Drosophila melanogaster: one gene and its partners. The protein of the gene in region 1 interacts with the protein of each later gene in a biochemical or structural test. Each region holds a gene or a part of one and is shown in the gene's direction. Other genes may lie near its edges.

Region 1 (7,201 bases):
GCCGCAGCGGCGATCAGCTCAGAGCGTCTCCCTGGTGTCAAGCTCAACCAATGGCGGCACTGGCTCCAACTCCGCACTCTGGCTTCTGCTCCTACTTAGGCTGGGACTGGGGTTGCTCCTTGAACTTGGACTGGTGTGGTGGCTTGCGTCTGCACTGATATTACTTGGCTGATTTTGTTCATGGTTGTTATGCGGCGACGAGGTTGCCGGGGTCAGAGGAGCCGGAAGTGCTGGCGTGCCGGGCGGGGAGAGTGCTGGCGGAGTGAGTGGGGCAACGGCCACTTCCCTTGTCTGTGGCGGCCAGTGGATGGACCTTAAAACGCTTTGGCTGCTGCTGGAGGAAGTGGAGGGACTTTCAGCATGGCCTGAAGCCAACGAGGATCCCGAGGTAGAGGCAATATTGTCATCGTCAGTCTTGGCCGTCTTCTTCTCCTTCTCCCTCTTCTCGCGCTCCTTCTCCATGTCGGCTATCTTCTTTAAGTAGTTTTTGTCCTGGGTCGGACATTCGAGGTGGACGCAGTGGAAGATCTAAGAGCAAGGAGAGCATTAGCTTATCGGACATGTTTTGTGGCGCTGCACTGCTACGTACCTCATTCGCTGTGTTGCGTGTGCCCACAATGCGGATATAGACCACTGGACGCGGAGTAAAGTGAAAGTTCTGCCAGGAGCGGGTCCTGTCGTTGCGGCGGTCCACGACCATTTGCCATTCCTTGCGGTTCGTCGAAATTTCGATGTAGAAGCTGTAGGTGCGATCATCGCAGTCCCACAGCAACAGCCTCATTGAGCCCAAATAGTAGGGTTGGCCCAAACGGACGACGATCTCGCCGCTGCCCAATTGGTGGCAAGTATATCCCGAGTCCCAGTCGTAGCGCACATAATCGCCGTTGATAAGCGCGTTGCGGGTGCGACTCACGCCGTCCGTCACAATGGCGCTCATCTCTACGGTGGCCACGTTCGTCTTGGGCGCCACAAAATGGTTAACTAAACGCGGCACCTTGGCCGTGTGCATGGCTTCCAGACCCACAACATGGAATACCTATATATTAATGGAAAGGGAAAAAGTTAAAGAATGGGGAAAGTTTGAAGAGATCACTGCTGACTTACCCGGTTTACAGTGTTCTGGGTGCCCACCAGTCGAATGAATCTGACGGGTCGTGCTTCGAAGTATAAGTATTGCCAGGAGCGGCAGTGGTAGTCGCTGTAGTCGACCACGCGATCCCAATGCTGCTGGTCGCCGGACACCTCAACGTAGTAGGAGTACGCCCGGCTGTCTCTGTCCCAGAGCAGCATGCGAATGTGATTGATCATGCAGAACGTGCCCAATTCGACCACAATGCCCGCATCTTTGCTGTCCGTAATGCAGTGGCGCGTATACCCGTTCTCCATGTCATAGGTGGTCACATCTCCATCCAGCAGCGCGTCGCGACACTCTCCCTGGATGCAGCGCGACAAAAACGTCTCCGCGGCCACGTTTTCCTCCGGCCAGAGCGCCGCCCTGTAGGGCAGCGCCTTTGAAGTGCTGCGCTCGTCGATGGCGTCGAGAATCTTGTCGGGATCCAGGATGCCCGAGGGACGCACCACCTGCAGCAGATGCTCGAGGTTCATCAGTGGCAGGCGGACATAACTAACCACGGACTTGAAGTCCACGTTGCTATTGAAGCGGCTCCACTTCCACACGGCCAAAAAGATCTGCACCTCGGGGGCGAAGAAGCAGTCACGCCGTAGTACCTCCTCCAGCGATTCCTGTAAGCATTACATACTCTTAGTGCCAACTTTACCAATTGGTTGTGAACTTACCTTGGATAGCGTATTGAAGCTGTTGTGCAGCAGCAGGTCGCCGGCATTGCGATCCATGAACATTAGGCAAACCTCGGTGAGTTCCTCTAGATTGTATAGACGCGCCGCATCAAGAATCATGCAGACATTGTCCAAGGCCAGATACTGGCGTAAATAATTCGATATGGCCATCTCCAGATCCTGGAAACCATACTGATTGGCCATGCCCAGCACATCGATGGTGGAATCCTCGTCCAATGTGGACAGCAGCAGTGTGCCCGAGTAAATGTAGCGCAGCAGCACCTTGAACGCTTCCAGCGGCACCTCAAGCGGTATTTGGCGCTGTGTGGTCTCCGCCATGCCGCCGTACAGCAGCGCCCGGAAGTATTCGCTGCGTGCCGCGAGTATGACGCGGTGGGCGGGTATGCGCTCCTCCTCGACGATGAACTCCACGTCCGCGTACTGTTCGTTCATGCAGAGGCGCGCCATGTCCGCTGAGAAGCGATCGCCCAGATCGACCACGTCGGTGTAGTCCTGCTCCATGGCGCCCTTCTTGCCGCCGCCGGACATCTTATGGTGTCCCTGGCTGCTCATCCTTCTCTTTTTTGTTTTTCTTCCGTGCGATGTGTATTTATGTGTGTAAGCAGCCAGAGGGAACAGTTGACAATTAACGTTTCGTCTCGCCTGCTGCGTCAATCCATCGATGACAGTTAGTGATATCGATAATATCGATGGCACAATAGGGATTCTTCTATTGCGGCGAAAAACTGTTATATGTGCAGTGTGACCGTAGGTGTGTATACCATTTAACGCGTACAACAACCATATCGACAGCCGTCTGCTAGCGAGCACATGAACCACATGGTTGCATCCGATAACATTTAGCGAATACATGAACCAAATGGTGTCTGTCTAATATGCCACCACTATTAGCGCGTTTCGGGTTGGTGTCTCTGCGCGCTCACTGGTCACACACGGTCAGTCTAGCCACAGCAGTTAGCGAGTGCAGTCACCACAGTGCGAGTGCTTATCGATAAAACCAGCAAGTCATCGATTTTTAGACCGAAGCGCTCTGTCAACTGCTGCGCACGGTCACTCTACACAAGTATTTCGTACCGTTTGTACGAGAAAACAGAGAAGAGAAAAACACAAGCTCAGCAACGCATCGATATTCGGCACAGTCCCAAAAGCAAACGAAGTGATAGAAGCTGCGTTTCTTAGCCAATTACCTCTTCATTGCAATCATGAAGTTCCAATACAAGGAGGAGCACGCCTTCGAGAAGCGTCGCGCCGAGGGCGACAAGATCCGTCGCAAATATCCAGACCGTGTGCCCGTAAGTACTCAAAAATATATATATAAATGCATATAGGTATAAAGAGACGTGTGTGTGTGTGTATATATGCGTGCGAGTGTGTGTGTATGTGCGAGCTTCTGTGTATGCGTTTGTTTTGCGTCGTTTTTTTTCTCGCTCTTTTTTTTTGTGTTTGCACCGAAGAAAATCAATACTGCGCATATTGGGTATTTCGATTGTTATTACAATATTATTGCACTGGCACATCAGGTGGCTGGGGAAATTTGTGCGATGGGTATTGCATAAAGTGCATTTTGCATTACTGGTGGGGGGAACAGGCGACAAGCTCTCAAAAGAAATTCAAACGAAAATTCTGCCCCCTGCATACACACATACGCACGCATACACGCGCACACAGGCACACAGATGTCGACAGGAAAAAACAAAAGCAAAAAAAGGGAGAGAACAAAGCAGCCGTTTCACTTGCTCAGCTGTTGTGATGTTGTTGTTTTCAGTGCTAGATTTCATCTGTGCCACCTCTTCCTCTCCTCTATCCCACCCTCTGGCTACACAGCAAGAAAATCGCATATATCTATCTGTCATCATAATTTAGTTACAAGCAAAGTTTTGACCACCCCGTTTTTTTTCTGTGTGTGCACCAACCAGTTGTTTTCGATTTTAATTTCGTTTGTTTGTTGGCAAAACGAGCGAGTACTGCGCATAAAAAAAGTCACTAATACTCACTAATACACACTTATACTAGCGCTGCTTGTTTTGTTTTTCGCAAATACACAAAGTGCGACTGGAATTAGTCATAGATGCGCTGCTGAACACAAAACAAAAATAATAAAAAAAATGGAAAACAGAAAGGTTGAAAAAAACAAAAACATCTTCTGCTTCTTCTTTGTTGTTTTTCTGCTATGTATGTATGCATTTCACCACGTTATCAGCGAAAACTCCTTTCACAAAAACCAAAACAAAACCAAACGAAACGAAACGACAAACTGCTGAAGGTGCCCCAATCGCAGCGAAAAGTGCAGTTCTTGTTTTCGATTTTGATTCGGACTGCATATGCATATGTATATATGTACAAATATGTACATATGTGCGCTATATATGCACCCCCGAAATATTATTGCCAGTGTTATTTTAGTGTTTTTTTTTTTTGGCAAGTGCAGCAGTGCCAAATCACAAATCACATAACAGCTGAGCGAGGGGCAAGGCCAGCTGGTCGCTCGGACCACCAGCATATCCATATATATCCGAATTCTATAGAATATACTTAGTACATACATACGTACTAGCACATCTCATACTTGTGCCTTGAGTTCGGCCAATGACGATAACGAATTTCGATAGAACACTAGTGTATAGAGGGGTGGCATTCGCGACAAGCAGTTTTTGCCCATTTCGTATTCACTATGTTGGCACCCGCTTCCTGTTCCAAAAAAAAAAAATTGGACAAACCAGTTTGCCAATAATTTGGCTAAGGCTAACTAATGAGCCCCTGGCTAGAACGGATCGTCTAGTCTAGGCCAGCTAGCAATTATTCCAGAGCCAAGGAAATGCAGTAGATTCGTTACAAAGCTCACTTCAATGACCAACTTGGTCGTCTTGGTGATCAATTTGGCTAAAATGCTGTAAAATGTGTATGTGTTTTTGCATAATGAACAAAAAAAAACAGATGATACAGGTGAACTTGAATGTAAACAGGTGCTAGAAATCTTAATTATATTACAAAACATATACCCCTTGAAAAATGCATTGAATTTGGCTTAAAAATAATATGTGAACAAAAACACACGTGTGTGTAATTACACATTCCAACTTACGAAATTCCAAAATGCATTACGAAATTACTGACTGAAATTACGAAATTACTCATTTTCCTGTCTAAATATAATATGAGTCAGGCCAATAACAATCAGGTATAGTTGTTCGTAAACAAATTAGTTTTCAATTAATATTAAGGTATTTTGTACACTAGATAGCAAGCATCAGAATTCATAAGACTATAGTTTATGTTTTCGGCATTATCATATTCCAAGGTAGCACGTATTCGAGCACACTTGCTTCCAGCAATGCAAATGCCATTTGTAGCCAAATATGTGAGCCTTATTGGGCACGTAATCAGGTGCGAAATGTGCGCACATTAACATGCACAAGTAGCCCGCAACAACAACTCACCTCCTGTATTTCTTCTTCTATTTAAACCCAAAGGTCATCGTCGAGAAGGCTCCCAAGGCGCGCATCGGTGATTTGGACAAGAAGAAGTACCTGGTGCCTTCCGACCTGACCGTCGGTCAGTTCTACTTCCTCATTCGCAAGCGCATCCACCTGCGTCCCGAGGATGCCCTCTTCTTCTTTGTGAACAACGTCATTCCACCAACATCGGCTACCATGGGCTCCCTGTACCAGGTAATTACCACAATGCCCATTATTATTAGCCTTGCAATCGAATCACATACGTTCGATGTATTTTTATAGGAACATCACGAGGAGGACTATTTCCTGTACATTGCCTACTCCGATGAGAATGTTTACGGCATGGCCAAAATTAACTAACTTTGCTCCGGTCGGGATGCATCGGAATGAAGCCCCCCCCCTATACAGAAATCTATATATAAATAAAATATATTTTGTGTTTAGCATGCAAGCTTACAATATGGACGGCGAGTTAGCTAAACGAATTGAGGAAAACCGCAGGAAATGCCACATGAAAAGAACTTGAAATTGATCTGATACGCAGGGCAACAAAAAAAATCCACAAAAACCGAAAACTACAAAAACAATTGTTATGTGAACATTATTTTATATATATACATTTTCCAAACGCGTTAGTATTTCAATTAAACTCTGCTTTGTGTCCTACCCATTAACGAAACAACCAACCAACCAACTTTCCCCACAAAAAACAGATCTATTCACACCCTTTCTGGGCCATTTAATTTCCATTGCTGTAATTGATCCGTGCGAATGCTTTGTACTTTACTTTGTTACTTTGCTAATATTTCAATGAATTCACTATTTTTTTTTTTATTCACGATGCAACAAAATTCTGTGCATATTTAGTGTGTATGGTTACGAATAGGACTCTCTCGGTTAAGTGTACGGTAATTAATCTATTATTAAATAAACAAAAACCACAAAAATACACATGCAAAGGGTGTTTGTTTATTTGGATTGTTCTTCGTTTTCAGTTTGCAATCACGTATATCACGCTTAGATGATTCAGCGATAAGTGACAGGAAGAAGTTATTTTATACTGCTTTTTCTTTTGTTCACCGAACAATGAGTCCTTATCTTTTAAAAATGAAATGAGCTTTAGCAATGAGTGGGTGTTTTTTTTTATTCTTTGCTATTAGTAACAAAAGCATTTATTTATTTTAAATTGAAGGCGTAAAAGGTAGTACTTATGATACCATTCGCAACGCAAAAGTTTAAGTGTGCAAATTAAATTGAAAAGAAATCACTTTGTTTATTGTTTGCTTATCTTATCGCAGCAAAGGCACTTTGCTAGCCATTCAAAATTGCCGCCCACAAACGTTTTTATGGGCAGCACTGTCATCAAAACACAGCTGGTCACACCATCAAGTGCTGCAAAGCAATATCTCAAGTCAGCCATAAGGAGAGCATGTGCTAAAAAGGGACAGCTCCACACAATAAGTACGATTAAATTGCGATATATTTTTGGTAGTTAGTATTTTTGACGCATTTGGCGGACGACTGAGCACGTTTGAATTTCGTGGATTTTTTAGCCAATTTCACCATCTGGCAACACTGTTCGTTGGCCTCGCAGTTTTTCACCGAAAAGGTTTTGTAAAAACACCGTGCCAAACTGTCAGAGAAGCAGGTAAACTAAAGTCCACCTTGTCGGATCGGCCACTGAAAAGCCGGATTAAACAAACAACGGACACGTTACCGAACAGCTCGGAAAGGTGCAGAAAGGAAACATCAGATGAAAATCTATTAGCTGTTGCGAATTGTTTGTTTTTGCTGTGCTATTCGTGTTTTTGTTGTTGTGCATATGATTGTGTCTCTGTTGTTGTTGGTGGTGGTGTTGCTGTTGTAACTCGTGACGACGGAAATTAGTAACAAAGTGAAAATTGAGAGTTCAAAAAAGAAGAGAACCC
Region 2 (6,012 bases), 8.0 Mb from region 1:
GAACCGGGAACGCCGGAAATTCCAGAGCGTCGTCATCGCCAGGCGATTGTGCCGCGCCAGCTGAGCGGCGAGTTTTCGCCCAAGAAGGATAAGCCGAAGGAGAAGGGGCTGGCGGTGATGGCCCTGATCTCGCCGCCATTGCAGCAACCCAGGGTGCGTCCTCCGTTGCGGGAATGCCGTCAGCAGAGGGTCTATAGCGGCGTGCAGGATGTGGGCGAGCCGGAGGTCGTGGACGCAGAAGAGGAGGACGAGGTGTTCCGCCCCACAAACGCCTCCACGTGCAACGACAAAAAGCTGGAGGCGCCCAACTCCGGTCGCCTGTGGTCGCTGATGAGTTCCATGATGCGACTGCCGGCCAGCTTGCGCGGCGAACGCGAAAAGGACAGGGACAGGGACAGGGATTCGGATAAGGAGAACGCTGGTTCGGGCTCACTCATCCGTCGCTGCGCCTCCATCGCTGGATCCCTGGTGCGCCCCAGTGCAAGGGACTCCTCCATGGAGGACCAGCAGTGCCTCAAGAGAAAGCGCACTCAGACGCTGGACAGCCAGTACTGTAGCCCGCTGTCGCCGTCCAGCTCCTCGAAGCGCTACCGCATCCGGCCCAGGGAGCCCATCGAGCGCATGCGTCGCCAGTAGGTTTTAAGCTTTTGCCTGCGAATCTGTGTTTTAATTGTGAAATTCTTCTTTTTTTTTATCGTTTAATAAATGTTTGGTCTTGCATTAACCGTTATGCGCAGCAGGAGTTGGCAGGTCCAGGAGCTTAGCTCGTCTCATTCAGAGCTGCCAACTCTATCTATTGATTCTGTTATTAATTAGTTGCGCACAAGATCGAAAAGCTTAACGGAGCGCCCATGGCGAAATCACAAGCAGGTCAGACTGTCGAGCCGGAGGCGTCCAAGCTGTGGATCCACTGCAACAGCTGCTGCGCCCTGTTCTGCGATAAGAAGCACACCTTCTTCCTGCTCGCCTGCCATCACGTGTTCTGCGAGCGGTGCGTCAAGGTCTCCGCCGGCCGCACGCCCAGCGACGCGCCCATATTCGAATGCTCCACCTGTCGGCGGAGCGTGCGCGGCCGCCAGTTGACCAACTCGATGCCCAACCACTTCAAGCAGCTCTTCCATCCGGAGCCCTTCACCATCGGCAACGACTTTGTGGAGACGTTCCAGCGCGGCAATCATCGGCACTTCGACAAGTACAAGGAGAGGAAGGAACTGGAGATGGATAAGCTGTTCAAGGACATCGAGGTGGCCAAGTCCGTGTGCCAGAAACGCTTCCTGGAGGCGCAGATGCTGCGCGTGGAGCGCAAGAAGCTGATGCAGAGGTCGCGCTACATTAAGGCGGAAGTCGCCAATCGGAAGGCGGAAATGCATCGGTGCGACATTTGGATTCCATTGAAAATAGTTCCCATTAATGCATTATATTTCTACCCGCCTTAGGATGGCCCAGGCCTACCGAAGCCGCTCGCTGACTTCGCAATCCTCGTCATCCGCCCAACGCTCGGCGCGCGGACGTCCTCGTGGCCGTGGAACAGCCACACAGTCCTCCAGTCGACGCCGATCAACGGAATCAGCAAAGCGGCAGCAAATCACCAGCTTCATACACCCGCCGAACAACTCGTTCGATCTGTGAGCTAGTGCTGATAGGTAAAGCTCTGTTTTACAACCGAGTATATATTTTTTGTAAATAATCAGCTTAAAACAATAAAATGGTGTCATAAGCTTTAAAATAATAAACTGCTAAGTTAACAGCGACCGTTAAGTTTCAATTAACAGTTTCGTTAGGATAACAGAAGTGTTGAAAGTGAATTCGATTAATCGAAATCCATCGATGACTGCTGCACCGATAATATCGCATAAGCATCTGCTCTAAAAACGCATAAAAATTGAATTGCAAGAAGTAGAAGAGCGAAACGTCATAAAAGCGGCAAATCCGGCGCTGTCCGACAAGAACCACAGGGGAAAGCGGATAAGGACATCATGATGAATAGCAAGATCGCCGAGGTAGTGGTGCTCAACTGCCGGACGTGCACGCGTGCCTGCAAGCTGCACAAGCCGCTGCAGGAGGAGATCGATCTGGGTTCGGAGGGCAGCACCACGCTGGCCAGCATGCTAAACTACTGCACGGGACTCTCGTTCGAGCCGCAAGACGGCGCCGCCATGCCGCAGCACATCTGCCTCCACTGCCTGCAGCTGCTGGAACAGGCGTTCAACTTCAAGCGCATGGTCATCGATTCGGACGAGCTGCTCCGCCTGGGCCTGGACGAGGCGCGCTGCTCCAGCTTTCACGAGAGTCAGACTCATAGCCCCAACCAGAGCCAGCAGCACGACCAGCAACAGCAGGCGTTCGACTCCACCGAGGAGTACGTCATGATCGAGATGCTCAACGAGGAGCAGGAGAACGTCGCCAATGTAAGTATCTATCACTTCACGGTGCAATGGAATGCAATGGTTCTTGTCCACTCCCATAGAGGATTAACGATTGCTCACAGCGGGCACCAGTCACTCAAATCGATTCACTTATATTGTGGCTCTTTGGGATGTAGTAGGGTAGGTCGGTGCCAAAGGAGTGCAACCTGTACCTCCATACAATGGATAACTTGTCTGCTCTTGGTGACACTACGTCTAAATAGGAGATGGGCTTCATCAAGTCTAACTCCAAAGTAAAACCATAACACCTTCTTCATCCGCAGTTGGATGAAGAACTAGCAGAGGAGGATCGTCGCATCTTCGCGATGACCGTGGATGAGGAGGAGGAGTTTCTCACCGAGGAGGTGGATCAGGATGACGAGCTGTCGGAGGAGGAGCACCAGCTGGCACAGTCGGGCGACCAGCAGGAGGAACACATCACTATGGAGAGCGTGCATGAGTTTCAGCCCGCCGAAGTGGAGTATGTGACCATTAAGAATGAGTTCGAAACGATCGTCACGGAGGAGGATGAGTTCGAGGTGATGAACGACTCCGGCGCCCACGACGCCATACTGGACTGTCAGATGATTGTGATACCCGCCGAGGGAGCCATTGACGAGGTCATCGGCGAGGAGACCCTCGAATTGGAGGGGGATGGGCGCGAGGAGCATCTGGTGAGAAAGGTCAAATTATATTGCACTAGAATACCATTTATCCTCCATTCACCTACACACAGCTGCCGGAGGCGGAGGATGTCTGCGAAGATGAGGACTTCCTGGAGGAGTCGCTGGACTCAGCGCCGCCGACCGCTGGCGAGGCGCTGCCGTACGTGTGCACCGTGTGCCAGAAGGCGTTCCGCCAGCAGTGCCGTCTCAACCAGCACATGCGCTCCCACGTGGACGAGAAGCAATACGAGTGCGAGGAGTGTGGCAAGCGTCTGAAGCACCTACGCAACTACAAGGAACACATGCTGACACACACAAATGTCAAGCCGCACCAGTGCAGCATATGCGGCCGCTTCTATCGTACCACCTCCAGTCTGGCAGTGCACAAGAGAACTCATGCGGAGAAGAAACCCTACAACTGCGATCAGTGCGGCCGCGGATATGCGGCGTTCGATCATCTGCGGCGCCACAAGCTCACGCACACGGGCGAGCGACCATACGCCTGCGATCTGTGCGACAAGGCCTACTACGATTCGTCCTCGCTGCGCCAGCACAAGATAAGCCACACCGGCAAGAAGGCTTTCACCTGCGAGATCTGCGGCGTGGGACTGTCTCAGAAGTCGGGCTACAAGAAGCACATGATGGTCCACAGTGGCGTCAAGGCGCACAAGTGTGATGTTTGCGGGCATGCCTTCACCTTTACCAGCAACCTCAATGCCCATGTTCGCCTCCATTCCGGCGAAAAGCCGTTTAAGTGCGAGGTCTGCGTTAAGGCCTTTCCCACAAAGAAGCGACTGGCCAGTCATATGCGCGTCCACAACAAGGAGTCGCCGGTGACGGCCACCGTTGCTGTTCAGTCCATCAATCCTCCCAGCCGACAAGCGGGCGCAGAAGGTGCGACAGGCGGAGGTGCGACAGGTGGAAGTCCGACCGGTGGAGGTGCGACCGGTGGATCGGCAACCAACCTTCACATAACCGAAGTTCATGAGCAGCCGGTGTCCACCTCCAAAGTGGTGATGGTGCTGTGAGCGGCCACCAAGCCGTGGGAGCGGCTCTAGAATGTAAGCCTAGGCTAAGGATTAGACACTTAGTTCAATAAAACTGATTTTTGTTCCAGAAAAAACTGAAAGAAAATTCGACACTTATTTTTTACATACATAAAAATAATTTTGTTTTCACGATAACTATCTCAGCAGGTTTAGCCACTCTTATCCATCAATTGTGATTAGATAACGCACAGCAAGTTCTCCACTTTCGTAACGAAACACATGGATGTCTTGTTTTTGGTTTTACGGTTAAGTCGTCTCTTTATAATAATAATATTACGATTAAATTGCCAAAAAACAAAAACAAGCAAGTTTAGTTATTCAATAAAACAAAAACATGCGCCTCGTCTTTTCCCAAAGGAGCAAAAGACAGAGCGTGCCTCCCAATCCTGCTGTCTGCTGTCTGCTACTGCTTCCCACTAACTACTCCAAAAGTCGACGAAAAATATGGCCAGTGTGCTGCTGCAGGGCGTGTTTGTTGCTCCGGCGCAGGCGGAAGGTTAAGGTATGCGTATGGAACGGGTTGTGCGGTATGGCCAGCCTCCTAGCGGCCGAGAATGTTGCGCGACCACTGTTTGACCATTGGCTTGGTCTTGGACTGCTCGATGCGTTCCGCCTCCAGCATTTGTTCGGCCAGCTTGCGCTGGTTCTCCCGGAACTGGTTGATGGGATCGTCGAACTGGCGATAGTAGTGGAGCACCTCGCGCACGTCGTCCACGTTGTTCTGCGCAATTACTGTAGCGAATTGCAAGGGTCAGTGTTTAGCTTTCAATGTCACTTGTGGCGCAACTTACTCTTTAGGAAAGCGATAAGGTCCAGCAGTTGGCCATCATCGTCGTTGCCATGCCAGCGGGCCAAGCCGAATGTGTTGTCCGGATGCATCTTGGTGGCATTCGCATCCCAGTCCACAACAATCACCTAAAATACTCCCTTCTTTATAGATGATTGCAATAGAAAATACGTTGTGCATGACTTGCCTTCTTGAGGTCGCGATTAAGGTTGTCCAGGTTCTTCACATGATGGCCGTCCACAAAGTGCGTGGCATCCCTGACCAGGCGGTACATAATGTAGCCGTTGGGATCGAGGGCATCCAGGATGGGGAACACGGTCATGCCCTGTTCGGCGGTGAAGACGACAATTTCAAAGTCCTTGGCGCACTCGGCCAGAAAGTGGTCGACGCCGGGACGCTTCTTGAAGCGCCAGCCAGTTTGGTAAGTCCAGTCCGGATGCACCAGCACGTCCTTCATCTCCAGCACAAGCGTGTAGCGCGGCTGCACGTACGGCGGCTTGAGCGGATCGGGCAGCAGTTTGGCGCGCGACGGCTCCTGGATCATGCGCTGATAGTAGTGAATGCTCTTCCACATCCGCTGCAGATACTGCTGTACCAGCGGCTTGTGTGTGAACTCGTCCTCGATGGGCTGCCCGTTGGGGTCCACCTCGGGCTTGCCGAACTCGTAGACGGCCCAGAATCCAGCAGCCACGGCGCTGCCTCCGAATATTGCAAAGCTGCAGCAGGAAGTATTGTTATAATACTGTTACGCATTGAATGGGCGTCAGCTTACCCCAGCTTCATGCGCTTCCAGGCACGCTCGTTCTCCTTTTCCTCCTCCTCCTCGCGCTTCTTGCGCTCCTGCTCGGCGTTGCTGTCCACCTCCGGCGAGGTCTGAGGAAAGAGCTTGGCCAGCAGCGGGGCATTCGGTGCGACCTCGGGCGCATCATTGGGGCCAGTGGCTCCAGCTTCCTGCTCTGCGAAACGAAAGTGGCCAAGGATGAATGTTTAGGACTCTACTGTTTAGGACTCTACCGTGAATCACTTACTGGTTGTGCTGCTGTAGCCACGCGCTGTGTGCAGGATCGAGAAGAGCGCCGGAGCAGCCGCTGGCAGTGCTGTGCAAG
Region 3 (5,922 bases), on another chromosome or scaffold:
TGCAAATGATTTTTGGGGTTACACTTTTAAATTTTCCGGAAACGCCTCGAGCAGCATATGCGGTCCTCGGAAAATTCACTTAAAAATCCACTTAAAATTTTGCTGGGTATTGCACTTCACCTTTAAAGGAAGATTAAGCGGATGAAATAGGCTGATGTCACTTTACTCATAAGAGTTTGTATGTAAATAGAATGTTCGCGCCAACTTCACGAGTTTTTTTTTTTAGTGCGCTATCAATCTACCGAATATCATTTTACTGGTCTACCCCTTCTTGGCACCTGAGATATTGTTCCCGTTTTTGTCAGTTGTAGGGGGCCTCTATTTATAACTGAAACGGAAAAATCCATTAGAATATTGCCGCAGACAAAGGACTTTCCCCACAACCCTGCCCCACAAATCGCGGTGGGGGGTTTGTCGGGCGGGAAAGTGCGCAAAGTACCTGTCTGGGTGGGAAGATATAATACCTGGAGAAGTGCCAATCCCAAACGCTTTCCCACATAAACAAGCATTAGGGAACTCCGAGCTTAGCTTATGTGGCTGGCTGGCTAGCTGGAAAACTGAAGAGGACTGTGGGAGCGGGTGGATACGGGCAGTCACGCAAGGGGTCAGTGGGCGTGGCGGGGCCAACGCCCAAAGGTAAACTATTTTTGGGGAGCGAGGCAGTTGGTCATGGGGATAACTACTAACTAAATATTTAGCACGACACGCCTTTATTCTTTTGCACCCCTAATTGATTCAAAAACGAAATTTTATCCGCATTAAAATGGGGAGACACAGCGAATTGGTTTCGGGTACAGGGAAATTAGATCAGAAGGACGTGCGTGGCATTTAATGGCCTTACCAATCAATCAATCCCAATAAACTTACAGCATTCTCTGCCACAAATGAGTCAGCAAATAGCATCATTATCAACGCATGAAGTTCGCCATCGGGTGTTCGTTCAATCAATATGCAAATAAATTTGTTGTCATATCCGACAGCTATCTGTTGATGCTGACAATTATAACAACTGTAAGTACAAACACAAATATTAATAACCCCTAGCCAGAATCAATAAAGAATCTCACACTCATGCGAATATTGGGCGAGAGAGAAATTTGGAAATTAATGGCCAATGGCCTAAGAATACCAATTGTTAGCCGAGATGCGAAAGCACTCATATAATATTATTAACAATAATGAACTTAATTATGAGCACACATGAACATTAAGTAAGTGCTAATTAAGTATCAATTTAGATGCTAAGTTTATGAGATAAATCAGTTTAGTTCTATTAAACTGTTGCCATTAGTTTAGTAAGCGATCTAATATATACAATCTGAAGATAAGCACATCGTTGGCGACATACAAAAGATTTTGTATTAAATAAAAATAATAAAATGAAGTAGATTAATACAAATCGGTCTTGTTTATTTGCTTATCAGTACAGTTGAATTTGAAATGCCAAAGCTAGACCGCCGATCATAATTCAAAATGCAGCACTGGCGTTTGGTCTTAATGAGCACTGGCTGCGGTGGTGGAAAATGTGAACAGCTGATACCACTGGCAGCGCTACGCAACACTCGACAGAATAACGAAAAGAGAGTACAGACGAAAAGCTGGAGAAAATTTGGTTCATATTTTCATACGTGAAACAAGATGTAAAACGAGTGCATTTAGGGCCCAAAATAGTGAAAACTCACACGGGAAACACAATGCTAGCGACGGATAGCAAAAGTAAGTGACGGCTGCACGAAATAAGCCGGAAAAGTGCATGTGAAAATTTTCAAATTCGACCTATCTGCTGGTTTGTTCAAGGGTGGGTGGCGGGCAGAGAGGCCGAGTGAGAGTACGCGAGAGAGGAAGAAAAATCAATAAAATTGTCGTGAGGCGCGATTGACTGGAGCAAAACAAAGTGCGACACGAAAGAGAGCGCTAAGCGGACTACGAAAAAGCAACAACAGAGCGGCCGTTAGCTGAACCAAATGCGTTGGCAGAAAAGAGAGGTCAGATAGTCGGTAGTTTCAAAGGGAGTTGGAGTAAACAAACAAGTGCGCAATAAGTAAACCAAGAACAGCTGTCTCGCACAAAATGTAAATATTTCCCGAATATATGGAATAATAACCACTATCGGTTAATCGCTTGCTCGCTATGTAGGCGTACGAATCGAATCGAGTCGGCGACAGAGGCAACGTTCATTCACTCGCGAAAAGTTAATACTCGCACCGAATACAATGATCGCACTTTTCGTGTGATTCACCTCCAGCGGCCGCTAATTAAGGCGGCGGCAGCAGAAATAGAATAGCTGCGAAAACAAGCCATAACGCCAACTGCACTGTGCGCGGTTGTGATTTGGAAGCCACTCAATTGAAAGTGTCAGTGCTGTGCAAATAAATCGCCAAAATATCTCACCTCCAATGTTCAAAAGATACAATATCTACAATAAGCACAGGTTCTATGGAAACATATGTTTAAATGCGAAGCGACACGTTTTGAACTGAAACCTGCATGAAAGTGGGAAAGTTCATTAAACTACAGCAGTAAAAAGTTTCAAAATACTATGAAATATCTTTTTACACCTTTATCGAATAATATATAATCTTTTTAAACGGCATAACATTGTAAACAAGTGAATCACCATTATTAAAACACATGTAGAAAGTGCCACCCCCTTGCAAAAAAATCAATGACATTCCTCATAGTACAGCCATTAGATTAGTCTTATATTTTGTATTAAGTCAACTTAATTTTCTCTCTTTTAGATTAATCTTACCGCAAATCAACAAACACAAAGATGAATGTAATGCGTAAGCTGCGCGGAGCGGCCAGCGCAGGCAGCGTCAGCGGCAGCAGTAGCGGAACCTCGACGGCGAACAACAGTTCACCAGGGAGCAGCAGAACGGATGCTGGTGCACCGACCGCTGCAAATGGACGGAATGCGGAGGAGGCGCTGATGGACGCCCGCGTCCAAGTGAGCCTCACCACGCTAAAGAAGCTATTCAACGAATACACTCATCCGCGGGAGCCGCTGAGCGAACAGGAGCGCGATGACAAGCTCTACGAGATGCTGCCCCTCTTCTGCAAAGTGAGTGAATCAGTCGGTATGGAGGAATAGGCCACTAACTCCCCATTCTTACAGGTCTTCAGCAGCTGTCCGTCAAACGACATGAGCGAAAAGTTCTGGGACGTGGTCGCCTTCTGCCAGCAAGTGTCCCGTCTCATGGTCAGCGAAATCCGCAAGCGCGCCTCCAACCAGAGCACAGAGGCGGCATCCATTGCCATAGTCAAGTTTCTCGAGGTGGAAACCACCGAGGAAACCAGCAGCGGATGGATGCTTTTGGCTACCCTCAATTTGTTGGCCAATGGAGACGTATCTCTCATACAGGTATGTTTCATTTATAAACTGCTATAGTATCTTATGGTAAAAATACATCGACGTAATCAAAACAAAAAATTTCAATAGCTACAATTTTCGTTAGGGAAAGTCGTCATCAAATTCACGAAGTTTTCTCAGTTCCAGGCTTCAAAGAGAATTCGATGTGTGAGTTCGTAGCTTCTTCATTTGTAATATTTGGGTTGGCTGCATCTGGAACTTGTTGTTCCTTTTCTCCCGCATCGCTTGGCTTATGGACCAATTCAGCATTGCTTAAAGTTCTGAGCCGAGAATAGCTAGAGCCCTGTTCTACCAGCAAAATCTCCGATTTCTCCCTTTTCTCAGTGTCCGCCCACATGGAAGATCGCCGGGCTAGCTTCCGATCCATTTGAATGGGTTTCATTGTGGCCTCGCTGTTCTCACTTGACCGAGTTGAAACAAGGCTAACAGTGCTCCTGTCCTCGATTTTGGCCCACAAGCTCGAGGAATCGCTGGAGCCGCGCCAGGCTGAAGCAGACCTGCGCATCTTATTGGCCTGCTCTTCCATGTACACACTGTACTCCGTGTCCACCGGTGTGATATCCGATTCACTGGTGGTTATTGTTGGCGTTGATAGAAAACTCTCGTCACTCTCGATCTGATGCAGCGAAAAGAACTTTTTACGCGCATCCCCAATGAACTGCCACATGCGGACTATAAAGTGCGGCTGCTCCACCTCCGCGTTCGGCCGGAAGTACAGGATCTGAGAATTGGCCAACTTATAGTAGCACCTGCAGCATTTGCATAGAAAGTCGTCCACTGGCTTGGAAAGCACAAATAGCCCGGTTGAACCAGACTCTGTTCCCTCAAAGTACTTACGGCCAGTCGCCTGACGTTTCCAGTCGCCGGGTTCCATGCGCATCAGCAGGTCGAACACGTGGAACATGTGCATCAGGTACATGGTGCCAGTAACCAGCGCAGCGATGCTCTGCTGCTTGCAGTGCGCAAAGTGCGGATGTTCCAGATACTCGATGGTAGAATTGATGAAGGCCAGGTGAGGGTCCAGCATGGCGGTGCGCATTATCAGCACGCCGCAGAAATAGTGCGACAGCACGGCACTCAGTGTGAGCAGGAGCTGGGAGGAGAGCACCGTACTCCTAGCCAATAGCAGTCGGAACGCGCCTAGAGCGGCGAGCGCCGTAAAGGACGAAAATGTGGCACAATATAGGATCACATGAGGAGTACGCTCTGGCCAGTAGGATGAGCCGCGTATGTGGAAAAACATACAAACACTGCCCAGCAACACCTCGATGAGTTTAAAAAACACCCAAACCTGGTTCATTTCACAGACGTATTCTAGTTTAAAATGGTTTAGATTTAGTTTTGGCAACAGATGAAAAAGGTTCTGCGGGAAAAGTTGTATCTCAAAATACAAAACACCGCCGGGGCTGCGGGCTTAAATTAAGATGTTAAATCTAAACTAACTAAGCAATTCTAATATTGCTGCATTTCAGGTCATGACTGCTGCGGCGGTTCCCTCTACTTTAGTGAAGTGCTTGTACTTGTTCTTCGACCTGCCCATAGTTGAGGACGATGAGCCTTCAGCTGACGGTGGAGCAGTAAGTGAGTTTAATGCCCATGAAAGGCGGACGCTTCTGCAGAAGGTGTTTGTGCAGCTGCTGGTCAAGCTGTGCTCGTATCCGTATCCCGCTGAGGAACTAGCTCGCATGGACGACTTGACGCTGCTATTCTCGGCCATCACATCGCCATGTCCCATCCACAATATTGTATGGCGCAAGAACGCAGCTGAAATCCTGACCACAATATCAAGGAATGGCCTAACCGATGCCGTAGTTAGCTATATACATTGTAAGTATGGTGGACTTAATCATTATGACTAAATATTCTTAAAATGTTTCTTAATTTAGCCAAGGGCTGCATGGCACTTTGCGTGGACAATATGCAGCGCCTGACGTTTGGAAATCCTTTGGAGATCGTTGAAATGTTCGTCACCGTGTTCTGCTTTCTCAAGGACTCCAGTCAGGTATCCCAGATTTTGATGGATGATTTTCGTGCATCTCAAGGTTACGTGTTTCTCAGTGATTTTCTACTCAAGTAAGTACAATAGTTCTTTTTTTAAGCACTTCTTAATATTCATATTAATTTTTAGGTTTGACAACAATCGTAGCCAATCATTGGAGATTCAAGCGGCCATTCGAAATCTGGTACTGATGATCTCTTCGTTGTGCATGTGTGGCTTTTACGAGCTTCGACCGCCAGCCTCGCAGTTTAATACGGCTTTCAAACTGCAGAACTTCCAGCTCCCACAGGCCACCTCACGAGAGACATGCGTGCGAAATGTGTACGCCTTCCAGGTGCTGCAGAACGTGTTCCTTAAGTCAACGACGCCTGCGCTCTGCTGCACAATACTGGACGCCATTTCGCGGGTGTACCACTCGGAAAATGCCAACTACTTTATCCTGGAATCGGAGCAAACGCTTAGTTCGTTCGCAGAGCGGATACACATGAAAAGCCCGCAAATACAAGAAAAATTCTACGATCTGCTGGAGTTCATTGTCTTCCAACTGAAC

What was found.
Region 2: the proteins of Atg8a (region 1) and dwg form a complex in vitro, tested with the Drosophila melanogaster proteins (one study listed by BioGRID).
Region 3: the proteins of Atg8a (region 1) and bchs form a complex in vitro, tested with the Drosophila melanogaster proteins (one study listed by BioGRID).

What each region holds. Positions count from the first base shown.
Region 1 is NC_004354.4:10,763,890-10,771,090, reverse strand, and holds Atg8a (Autophagy-related 8a), read left to right. Parts: upstream 1-2,752; 5' UTR 2,753-3,020; coding exon 3,021-3,110; intron 3,111-3,784; exon of another isoform or gene 3,785-3,923; coding exon of another isoform or gene 3,924-3,938; intron 3,939-4,434; exon of another isoform or gene 4,435-4,713; coding exon of another isoform or gene 4,714-4,761; intron 4,762-5,288; coding exon 5,289-5,486; intron 5,487-5,555; coding exon 5,556-5,633; 3' UTR 5,634-6,213; downstream 6,214-7,201. Other genes in the region: BTBD9 (BTB (POZ) domain containing 9), read right to left, coding at 19-528, 590-1,036, 1,105-1,743, 1,798-2,370.
Region 2 is NC_004354.4:2,725,856-2,731,867, forward strand, and holds dwg (deformed wings), read left to right. Parts: upstream 1-1,842; 5' UTR 1,843-1,976; coding exon 1,977-2,408; intron 2,409-2,689; coding exon 2,690-3,079; intron 3,080-3,141; coding exon 3,142-4,098; 3' UTR 4,099-4,187; downstream 4,188-6,012. Other genes in the region: fs(1)Ya (female sterile (1) young arrest), read left to right, coding at 1-636; vilya, read left to right, coding at 852-1,372, 1,437-1,629; ttm50 (tiny tim 50), read right to left, coding at 4,661-4,851, 4,911-5,034, 5,094-5,622, 5,679-5,862, 5,935-6,012.
Region 3 is NT_033779.5:5,905,572-5,911,493, forward strand, and holds the start of bchs (blue cheese), read left to right. Parts: upstream 1-1,597; 5' UTR 1,598-1,716; intron 1,717-2,741; 5' UTR 2,742-2,773; coding exon 2,774-3,064; intron 3,065-3,118; coding exon 3,119-3,364; exon of another isoform or gene 3,365-3,476; coding exon of another isoform or gene 3,477-4,673; exon of another isoform or gene 4,674-4,718; intron 4,719-4,845; coding exon 4,846-5,200; intron 5,201-5,259; coding exon 5,260-5,446; intron 5,447-5,501; coding exon 5,502-5,922. Other genes in the region: CG14000 (uncharacterized protein), read right to left, coding at 3,477-4,673.